4 linked regions of the Kluyveromyces lactis genome follow. The main gene of each other region encodes a partner of the protein of the gene in region 4 in a complex. Links are inferred from orthologs where the notes say so. Each region holds a gene or a part of one and is shown on either strand. Other genes may lie near its edges.

Evidence for each region. Proteins that work in one complex are often made in the same cells at the same time.
Region 1: MRPL1 (region 4) and MRPL4 share a complex: the UniProt entries of both Saccharomyces cerevisiae proteins name them as parts of the mitochondrial large ribosomal subunit. The link is inferred for Kluyveromyces lactis from reciprocal best matches to the Saccharomyces cerevisiae genes MRPL1 and MRPL4.
Region 2: MRPL1 (region 4) and MRPL49 share a complex: the UniProt entries of both Saccharomyces cerevisiae proteins name them as parts of the mitochondrial large ribosomal subunit. The link is inferred for Kluyveromyces lactis from reciprocal best matches to the Saccharomyces cerevisiae genes MRPL1 and MRPL49.
Region 3: MRPL1 (region 4) and MRPL51 share a complex: the UniProt entries of both Saccharomyces cerevisiae proteins name them as parts of the mitochondrial large ribosomal subunit. The link is inferred for Kluyveromyces lactis from reciprocal best matches to the Saccharomyces cerevisiae genes MRPL1 and MRPL51.

Annotation. Positions count from the first base shown.
Region 1 is NC_006038.1:467,767-470,650, forward strand, and holds MRPL4 (mitochondrial 54S ribosomal protein uL29m), read right to left. Parts: upstream 1,500-2,884; coding exon 501-1,499; downstream 1-500. Other genes in the region: 8-oxoguanine glycosylase OGG1, read left to right, coding at 1-309; U4/U6-U5 snRNP complex subunit LSM3, read left to right, coding at 2,163-2,414; NTE1 (lysophospholipase), read right to left, coding at 2,699-2,884. UniProt on the Saccharomyces cerevisiae protein: Component of the mitochondrial ribosome (mitoribosome), a dedicated translation machinery responsible for the synthesis of mitochondrial genome-encoded proteins, including at least some of the essential transmembrane subunits of the mitochondrial respiratory chain.
Region 2 is NC_006042.1:1,308,974-1,311,303, reverse strand, and holds MRPL49 (mitochondrial 54S ribosomal protein bL21m), read right to left. Parts: upstream 984-2,330; coding exon 501-983; downstream 1-500. Other genes in the region: mitogen-activated protein kinase kinase kinase BCK1, read right to left, coding at 1-183; enoyl-CoA hydratase PHS1, read right to left, coding at 1,302-1,946; SAP185 (Sap185p), read right to left, coding at 2,312-2,330. UniProt on the Saccharomyces cerevisiae protein: Component of the mitochondrial ribosome (mitoribosome), a dedicated translation machinery responsible for the synthesis of mitochondrial genome-encoded proteins, including at least some of the essential transmembrane subunits of the mitochondrial respiratory chain.
Region 3 is NC_006042.1:776,644-778,955, reverse strand, and holds MRPL51 (mitochondrial 54S ribosomal protein mL43), read left to right. Parts: upstream 1-1,383; coding exon 1,384-1,812; downstream 1,813-2,312. Other genes in the region: GCD2 (translation initiation factor eIF2B subunit delta), read right to left, coding at 2,023-2,312. UniProt on the Saccharomyces cerevisiae protein: Component of the mitochondrial ribosome (mitoribosome), a dedicated translation machinery responsible for the synthesis of mitochondrial genome-encoded proteins, including at least some of the essential transmembrane subunits of the mitochondrial respiratory chain.
Region 4 is NC_006042.1:1,782,997-1,785,458, reverse strand, and holds MRPL1 (mitochondrial 54S ribosomal protein uL1m), read left to right. Parts: upstream 1-1,161; coding exon 1,162-1,962; downstream 1,963-2,462. Other genes in the region: TMA64 (Tma64p), read left to right, coding at 1-795; MRX14 (mitochondrial 54S ribosomal protein bL34m), read right to left, coding at 2,285-2,462. UniProt on the Saccharomyces cerevisiae protein: Component of the mitochondrial ribosome (mitoribosome), a dedicated translation machinery responsible for the synthesis of mitochondrial genome-encoded proteins, including at least some of the essential transmembrane subunits of the mitochondrial respiratory chain.

The sequences.
Region 1 (2,884 bases), on a different chromosome or scaffold from region 4:
ATGTACAGAAGGAAGCTCCAGGATCTATGGGGCCCATACGCGGGCTGGGCACAATGTGTCCTTTTCGCACAAGAAATTGGGAAAACAGTTGGAGCAAGTACAAGTGATAAATTAGTGAAAAGACGCAAACTGGACTATGATGCATCTGGAGAAGAAGAAGACTTTAAAGTTGTAGTCAAAGACGAGGCAGAGATCAGTACGGAAGATTCTTTGTCCACGGTTAAAATTGAAGATACTATGTCGATAGAGTATAGCATTACTGGGAGGCCGCTACGGAGAGCGGTAAAAAAGGCTAAAAAGGTCTATTGAATTAATTGACTGCAAATAAAACTCTCTTTAAATACAATTCTTATTCGTCAAATTAAAGTGTTGTCGAAGGAAATTTTTTGTTTTATATTCCGTTATTTAAGTTGGTGTATACATATGTACAGGAAGGCTGGGTTCATCCAAATGGACGGTTACACTTATCTCTTTATACAATCACTTCGATGGCATTAATATCATAGTGTATTAGCGTTGTTTTTTGCATCTTCTTCTTGCAGCTGTATTTCCGCTTCTGTTACCTTTGCCATTTGAGCCTCAGCTAATTTATTAACATATTCTTGAACAGTTTCCAATTCATCGTATCTAGACACAGAGGAGCCATTTTCTCTCAACTCCCTTACCGCTTGACATGCTTCTGCGATGGCAGATTCTGTGTTTTCTGATGTATACAGAAGGAAGGATTCACCTGCATCCACAATTGTATTGTTAGATTCTTCTAAAAAGTTCTTGATGTCCTCGTTTCTTAGTGCAAATTTCTTTAACTTCAATGTTGCAACCGCTTTCAATCCATCCACAAATGTTCTGTCCACTTTGTTCTCATCGATGTACTCAGAGATACCGTATATGGCATATTGAAAACGTTGCAATGATTCGAAAATCTCTTCATCTTCGTTAGCAGGAGCTTCTAAAAAGTCTTTTTCGAATGATTCGATAAATACTTGTTTTTCAACAGCAAATTTCTCATTCGCTATCTTGAATGCCCAGTCTCGTTCGCTAAGGACGTGTCTTATTCTCCACATTGTCGTTCTGATCTTTTCGGAGATATCTTGGTATGCTTCGGTTTGTGCTTCAAAGTTGAACTGCACCAAATGGTTTTCACGTGCTAATACGTTACGTTCTTTCAAACATGTGTACCACAAAGAATGTAGGTCAGTGAACGATTTTCTTCTCAACTCTGGGATGGTCCAAGGTCTCGAAAGCGTATCCAATTCCTCGGGCGTTCTTAAAAACTTCTTCTCGGAGAAAAATTGCCATAAAGGATGATCATCTGGACATGTCAAATTGGCAGCAGCCGGTGGAATAGGAGCTGTAATCTTTAAATCATTATCGTGATGGGTCCTCTGGGTAGGTAGTCTAACGTTCTCTCTCTTGGCTGGTTTGGGTTTAGGTTTGGTGAATCTCGTCCTGGCACATGCTCTAGAAGTAGTATGCAATCCCCTTCTTGCTGGGAACATTTTGAAAATATAATATCCCTGCTATAATAAACACGTCCTGCAGCTACTCAATCGAGGTAGAACACTTCAATATCACGACAGCTAGCTGATTCATCCATGTTTTAATTCCTATTCAGCTTTCCTCTGCTTAAATGTTATAAAAATTTTTTGATCGAACAGAGTTGATTCGGGGTCCGTCATTAGGTTGCCCGGCCTTTGTCATGTGATAGTCACGTGAATATCAGGTTGACTATTGACTCTCTTAGTGAAGCATAGTGCAATAAGATGATAAACTAGCATCGCATATCCTGGCCATCTTTCAACAGGTACAGTATCATTCAAAGATGGTTGGAAACGTGTACCTTCCCTGGTTTAACTGATTATTCTATAATTCAGAGCTTTCCATTGACATCGAAATTCAAAACTTCAACACTTTTTATCAATTAGTACGTTAACAATAATTTGGTGATTAAGTATGTTATGGAGGATGCTCTGGAGTGTGAATGGAACTAAGCCTTGGATTGTATATCGACTACTCTACTATACCTGGTACTCCATTTGATAAACTGACAAAGGAAACCATTCAACCTAACTGCTGTACCCTCTATCAATTGCATTATTGGTTATTGTAAGAATACGACTGCATCATAAATATAGAAGACATACACACTTTACGCCGCAAAGATGTCTGATACGCCTCTGGATCTATTAAAATTGAATTTAGACGAGCGAGTATATGTGAAATTACGTGATGCTCGTGAATTAGTGGGTACTCTTCAGGCTTTCGACTCACATTGTAATATTGTTCTTTCAGATTCAAAGGAAACCATTTATGAACTAGTAGAAGGAGATTTGAAAACGACCGAAAGGTTTTCGGAAATGATTTTCGTTAGAGGTGGTCTTGTGGCCCTTGTAACAACACCAGAAGATGAATGATTGTCCAGTATCCTTCTTCTTCTTTCAACATTTAATAAGGGAAATTCGAAGAAATAACTTCATGTCCTCATTATTGATTGAGTGCGATGTGAGCTATCCTCATTTTGCCCCCAATATACATCCATCGCTAACATTTGTATAGTATATATTTAGTTTATTCAATTTTTTTTTAACTTTCGGTTTACAGTTACTTAGAAACTATAACGTTAATTGCCATGGCTTTGATTTTATGTCCTGCATGTCCACCATCGACAAATGTGGGTAGCGTTTCCTGTTAATTCGTTTTATATACTGTTCCGTCTTTGTAACATGTTTTCTTTGTCGGCATAAGCAGAAGTTGTGGTACCCGCAATTGGCGGTAATTCGTTTTTCTCTTGCAGATGTTGTAAAAAGTCATGACCGTACGCGTAGCCTACTTGGTATATTTCTTCAAACTTACCAAAATCCAAAGTCGCATAGTTCTCAATAGG
Region 2 (2,330 bases), about 470 kb from region 4:
GGATCCCTTGCTGCTGGAATCAAAACTATAATCGTTCTTCAAACCACTGGTCACCTTGTGATCCAATGACGATGGATAAAACTCACTGATATTGGCAGGATCAACATGTTTGTTGAGTATAGATGAGGCAGATCCTGACCTTGAATGTCCAGCAGTGCTACTCTTCTTCTTCAAGAAAGACATATCATCCACGGTTCATCTATATTTAGCGGGACTTTACTTATCAGATACTAAAGTATCGATACCCAGTAATTGTTGCACTAAGCTCTTCTCTTATCGTCTTTCTCCCCTCTTTATTAACGATTAAAATGGTATTAATTACAATTGTTTCTATTTGAATTTATATCTATTCTCTAAAACGGTAAACGTTTCTAACAAATTCGATGAGATGCTGCCACTAAAACATAGTTACTAGATGGTATAGTATTTCTAATCGATCTATAACGACCTAACATTATATTAAACTTTTATTTACACGATTTTGTAGGAGGGTTAGTTCATTAATTGACTTTTAGCTCGGATATTCTCAGAATAGTCAAATCGGCTTTATTGACCGCATGACGCACTTTCCTGTTTCTTCTCTTGGTAACTTCTCTCACTCTAAGCGGGCGTTTTGTCTTCTCAAGAACTGTAGCCTTAATAGTGTATAGAGATGGATCAATAGGTTCGTCCACGAGCTTGAAGTTACGAGAACCAATGGTAGTCACATCAGTCAAATTTAGCACATCGCCGACCTCTGCTTGCTTCAGTTTAAACGGTAAGATAACCTTATCTCCTTCTGTCACCAAGTATGGTCTGTTGTGTATTCTGAATACGGCATATAGCTCATTGGATAACTTCAACGGCGTTAAATTCACCTTCGCTTTTTCTGCTACCGAGTGTGTTGTTCTGATGAAACTTCTCTTCAAAGGTTGAAGAAATGGGCTGAAACCCACCATTTGCCTTACTGGGAGGGCAAACATATGACTGATATTCTTGAACATCGTTTCTGCACTGATTCGAACGACAATTGGCAGATGCAATAGCCCTTTCAATCTGCTTCTTCTCACTTGTCTTAAATGTTGTTCAACTAGTCGTATACTGTTTCAACAGAAAATTTTTTGAGCCTTCGAGAGTTAAGTGTTGATGTCAGTCACGTGACGTGACGTGAAAAGTAGGGCACACACACAGTCATGAGAAGGAAGAGCCAACGGCCACGCCAAGGGACAGCGTCGTTTCATTTGTGCATTCATTCGGGTATGTTACAAATGTTACAGAACTTTTATACATGAGTCAAACTATTCTTTTAATCCTGTGACAATTCATGCAGATTTGCGTTTATCACCGTTCAAGGATCTCATGACCTTCCTTCTTTGGGCAACCATGTGTGAGAATAGCACCGGGAACCCTGGAATGTAGGCTAGCATACCTGCAATTAAGAAATACTTGTACAAGATATTGTATTTTGCTTCAGCCAACGGCAATGCAGAATAAATTATGAACAATTCGCTGCCGACGCCCAATGGATATAGCACGTAAAACATGTTATATCTCAATACAACAAGTACAGTAGGCGCTTGAGCCACCAAGTTGAAGAAGTAGAACATGTACCTCACTATTTCAGCAATACACCATGCCGACAACAACGTGATGTAATATATTTTATGCGCATTTTCTGCTTCCGGCACATACTGGAAGATACCGATGACTACCAAGAGTCGAGAGGCCACTTGAGCAGCAGTGGTCACTAGCGGAGCACGGACTATTCCAAACAAAGAATTTGTGACTTCAATTATAGCACCGCATTGAACGTACGTGACTAAATCCTTGGTAGCAATAAAGAAACTTGGTTGACCGATCTTTGGGTAAAGGGTCACGACTTGATATAGGACATAAGCCCAGGCAGAAGCAGAAAGTAGGTTGTAAAGAGGAAGGAAGGAGAAGATAGAAGCCTTAGATGATGCCATTGGGTGTGAAAGTGTATTGGTGGGCTCTTTGGACTTCGGGGTTCAATTTATTAAGATCCAGTTCGGTTCTAAACAGACCAGTTTTTGTCAATAACAAGAATTCATGGTTTCAGATTCATAAAATTAAGTGATGCATTGAGACGAAAAGGAAGAGAAATCCAACAATACCCAAATTAACAAATTGCAGTATGTATTGATGACATGAGAATTAAGATTTGAATTAGTGTTACTCGTATGTTATTATTACTATTACTATTATTAATATTATTACTACTTGAACTAACGATAAACAGAGGAAAAGTAAATGTTTATTATATATCAATTTGTGTTGATAAGGATTCGTGTTTGGGGATAAGGCTGCATTGTTAATCTGTATCATGTGAG
Region 3 (2,312 bases), about 1.0 Mb from region 4:
TTAAGGATAGACGTAAAGTTGGATCCAATGAATGATTTTATTTTTCTGTAGCGAGGTATTGAAGCTTCTGAAAACTGACGTTTTGAAACTTTCTTGTTTAGTGACAGAGAAAATAATTTCAAAAGGTATGTATGGGTAGGGAACCAAGTTTAGCGTTATAATCGTTTTTAATGAGCGTAGTAAAGTTAGGTTGTTGTTCGAGGGTGTTCAATCTTTAATTAATCTGAAGGAAAACTATGTATATTAAGAATTCTTCAATGACATGAAATAAAGGTGCAAGTAAAAGGTATGAAAATGGTAGTAAAAAAGTGCCATTTGCTGCCCTTCTTATATAATACAAATGTTACTTTGGACACGCTAATAAACTCTTAACACCTTATAAGTATTTACCGTTGATGAATTACCAAGTTCCAGTTAATTAGTATGGTATTCTTCTGCTTTTTTCCCTAAATTTTTTTGTCGCATTTTATACTGCATCGTTGAAACGCTTCAGTGAACGCCGTAATAAATTAAAGAAACGGATACAAACCTTGACTGTTCGCTACTTACAAGTGAATGTTTTTTAGGGGTGGTCATCGTTATACGCATCCTTAAAAAAACGCATAGAACTTTAATTTTTCAATAGTTATAGGGACATTATACGCACCATAATGATAAACTGGTGACTATTATGGCAATACATTTGCCTGTTCTTGAACAAAGTGTCATACACTTACATCACACTTAATAGGGAGTGCCCAGTTAATTGGTTTAAATGACGCATGTGCATAATTTTTTTAACAAATTACTAGTGTGCATCCAACATACGCTAGGTGTCAATCCGTACATTCCATGGGTGAACGCAAATCAGGCCCTTTATTTAATTAACCTCATATGAAGCCTTTGGGACATCTTGGATCAGAATCTGGGGCCTCTATCGTACTTTCTATGGATTTGCTCAGTAAAAGTACCCTTAACCAAACGCTGGTAGTGCATTATTGTCATAACCCATCGACAGATCATCAAGTTTACATGACGTATGACATCTCATGAGGATGTGTTGACATAGCAATGTGAAAGAAACAGAATATAGTCGGAAAGAGGTTCTGTATTATTTACATTCGTCACCTTATAGCAGTGTTGGTACCAGTATCTTTTTCATTTGTGTGAGCATGTGGTGAATTGTCCTCCTACCTTCGAATACATACAGATTTGTTCACGTGACTGATGGTCTTTTGAAATTGGAAAAAAATAATCATGAACTGAAAACTCGAATAAAACTCAAAAGATATATTAGTGAATCTATGTTCTGCATCTGAAGGATCTCTCCACAGTTTCAAAATACACCCAACTTGTTTTCTAATCAGAGCTGGTACCCGCGGTCATAAAGATTTCTCTGAAGTAATGGTTGTTAAAGTTTTGAGACAAACTTCTATCGCAAGAAATGGTGTTGGCGCTTTTGTGCTTCCATGTAAAAAGATCACTTTGCAATACTGTAATTGGGGTGGTTCCTCACAGGGTTTGAGAGATTTCCTAACGTCTAACAGAATGATTCAATGGGCTGAAAAATATCCAACAATACAGTTCGAAATAGTAAGAAAGTCTGGCCATCCAGTTATAAAAGGTGACTATGTTAATGGCCGTAATAAAGCCATCTGCGTAAAAAATCTGAACATTGATAATGTAGAGAATAAGTTAAAACTAATCAGAGACGCATCTGGTGAGCAACTCCGTCACAGAACTAAGAACGACAATGTGGATACTTTGAACGATAGTGTGAGAGGTATCTGGTCTCCACTACATTTAAGCCCAGCCATCAGACACAAGGTTTGAATCGAAAAAATGACTTGTGAATGGTAATATCGAGATCATAGCTTAACTTGTACATATATATAGCAATATCCTCGATGAAGCCGATACCTAAGTAAACAACCTACGATGTTGAATATTACTACGCAATTAATAAAAAAGAAGATCTATACTAATTTTTCATTTACTATATTATATGATATTATCGTATATTATATATGCAAAGGGCTCCATTCAAGCTGATGCTTTGTATTCTCTAAGAACCACGGGAACAGAAGATGGTGGCAACGAACCAAATTCTGTAATGATCTTCTTGATGTAGTCAGGGGGTGTTAAATCGTACATTATATTGAAGATGTGCAAATTAGGTGATTTCTCCCACTCTGCTAGTATTGGTTTATCCTTGACATTCTTACCTTCGTCGGCAGTAGCATTATTGGTATTAGCACTGCCAGATTTATTATTTTGCTTAGAGCTATTCTCGACTTCCTTCTGCTGCGCTTCACGCTCTTTGATAAATTGCT
Region 4 (2,462 bases):
TTGAAGCTAAAGGGCAAGAATGACAGTTGCACCGTTATCTCGCTAAACAAGAATCATAAGGATTTAACAAACATGGAAGCCTACAAGACCTTGGCAACTATTGCTAAGAAATCCTCAGGTGATACTACAAACCAATCAAATAAAAACAAGATAACAGCATATTCTGGTGAAAATCTTTATAAACCAATGAGCGCATGCCAAAGATTCATTACCGGAATAACCGCCGATGTCCCACAGAGTTACTACACTCAACAAGAGTTAAAAAAGCTTCTAGATTTGTATGTCGCCAATAACAATCTAATAGATCCGGAGAACAAATCTCTTGTCAAATATGATGATACGCTTTATCAAATGTCTAACAGAGCTCCCCAAAATGGTGGAATACAGAAAATTGCAAGAGGGCTAATAGTTTCGCCCACTTTCCTCTCAAAAAACTTCAACACCTACCACCAAATCTACAAGCCTAATGGTGAACCGCTTCTCAAAGTACCAGAGAAGGGACCCATCCCAACTCTTGAAATTGTCACGGAGAAGAAAATTGGTAGGAAGGTCATCACAAGAGTCACTAATTTTGAAAAGTTTAAAATTGACTCTGAAGAATTAGCTGCTGCATTAAGAAAGAAGTGCAGCGGATCCACCACCATTGGTGAGTCTAAATCGACGAAAACTGCTGAAGTCCAGGTTCAGGGTCCACACGGTTCAATCGTAATCTCTATTTTGAATGACTACGGTATTCCTACTAAATGGATTTCGTTTGAAAATAAAGTCAAACCAAAACAAAAGAAGAAGCTGTAAGGTACACTTATGCAGATAGGCATTATGTGAAACTGCTCTTTGTGGTCTTTCCAGGGCCTTGTATATCATAGATAACTCATCTTCTTCCTCGTCTTATTCACCTACATAAACAGTATACCAATTACATATTACCCGGATTTGTCGATGTATCAAAATTTTTTCAGCTTTAGTATAATGATTAGTTGGATTAAAATCTTGGAAGCGTTAACAAGAACGATGAGAACAACGAGTTGACGTTATATTACCCTTTGGAGAGGATACAATCAATTTTCAACTATTTCACGTAAAAACTTCAAAGACTTGTGTCTCTGAATAACCTGAGATTTTTTCCAATTTCGCTACTTAGAGGCTAATAGGGTCGGCAAGATGTTTCCAAGAATATTCACCAGGCAGTTCCAGATAACGTCCTTCCGTCTAGCGGAAGAAACGGGTACTAAGTTGACTAAAGAGCAACTTAGAAAGAGGGAGCTAAGAAAAATGGTTCAAAGAAGATTGCAAGCAAAAACTCCGGCCAGTGACCATCCACTGTATATGCCAGTTTCTAGAGCACTAAGATACTTACGTGCAATCGAAGTCGGGCAACCAGCAAGCCAACAAACCATCACGTTAACTACATTGGTGGTAGCAGAAAGAGGTGTCCCCCCTCTTACAGGTAATGTTTCCTTCGGCAAACCTCTTAAAGATGTGAAAGTTGCTGTCTTCACTAATGACGAGGCACAAGCGGCTTTGATGAAAGATAAATACAGTGTTCATTTAGTCGGCGGTTCAGATTTAGTAAGTCAAATCAAGGCTGGTGAAGTCAGTATCGACTTTGACAAGGCTTTTGCAACTCCAGATATTGTTCCACAACTTGCTTCTCAAGTTGGTAGAATTTTGGGTCCTCGTGGTTTACTGCCAACTGCCAAGAAGGGAACCGTCGCCGAAGATCTTGAGCCATTGATTAAAGATAGTATGAGCTCTGTTCCATTCAGACAACGTGGTAACAGTATTAGTTTAGGTGTTGCCAAGACCCATTTCACTGACAAGGAAGTTCTAGAGAACTTGTTGGCAACACAGAAGGCTTTCAAACAATCTATCACCAATCAACAAACGAAAAAACCAAGCATATTGTCCCAAACTACGCTGACAAGTACACACGGTCCTGGTATTGTGATTGACTTTGCTTAATAAAGCAACCCAATTTTTATGAACAATAACTGGAATTGTTGTCCTTGTCAAGATAGAATGAAACTTACTTCAGAAATAATGCCCATGTACATAGAAATCGTTAATAGAAAAAAGATTCCTTCTGCAATTGATAACTATAAACCTATCCGATAGAATCATCTTAATGTCATGCCAGCTTTCTGATGGCAAAGCTAAAATCAAAACTGTTCCGTTTTCTTAAAATACATAATGACGATGTGGATATATATACAGGAGATTCAGCCATTCTTTATAATCAGGCGCTTCCATAACGTTCCTGGTTTGATTGGAAAGTTGAACAGAACTAATAAGTCAAATACCATCTGCCTTTATTCTTTCTTCTTTTAAGTATCTGTTGTCCACTTCTAGATCTTGCCCTTGCTAGGAACCCCACTCTTCTCTTTCTCTTTAAAGTACTCGGTTGGAAAGTGTTACCTCTACTTTTCCATCTTCTCTGAGTCAAATCGAACAACATACCAAAT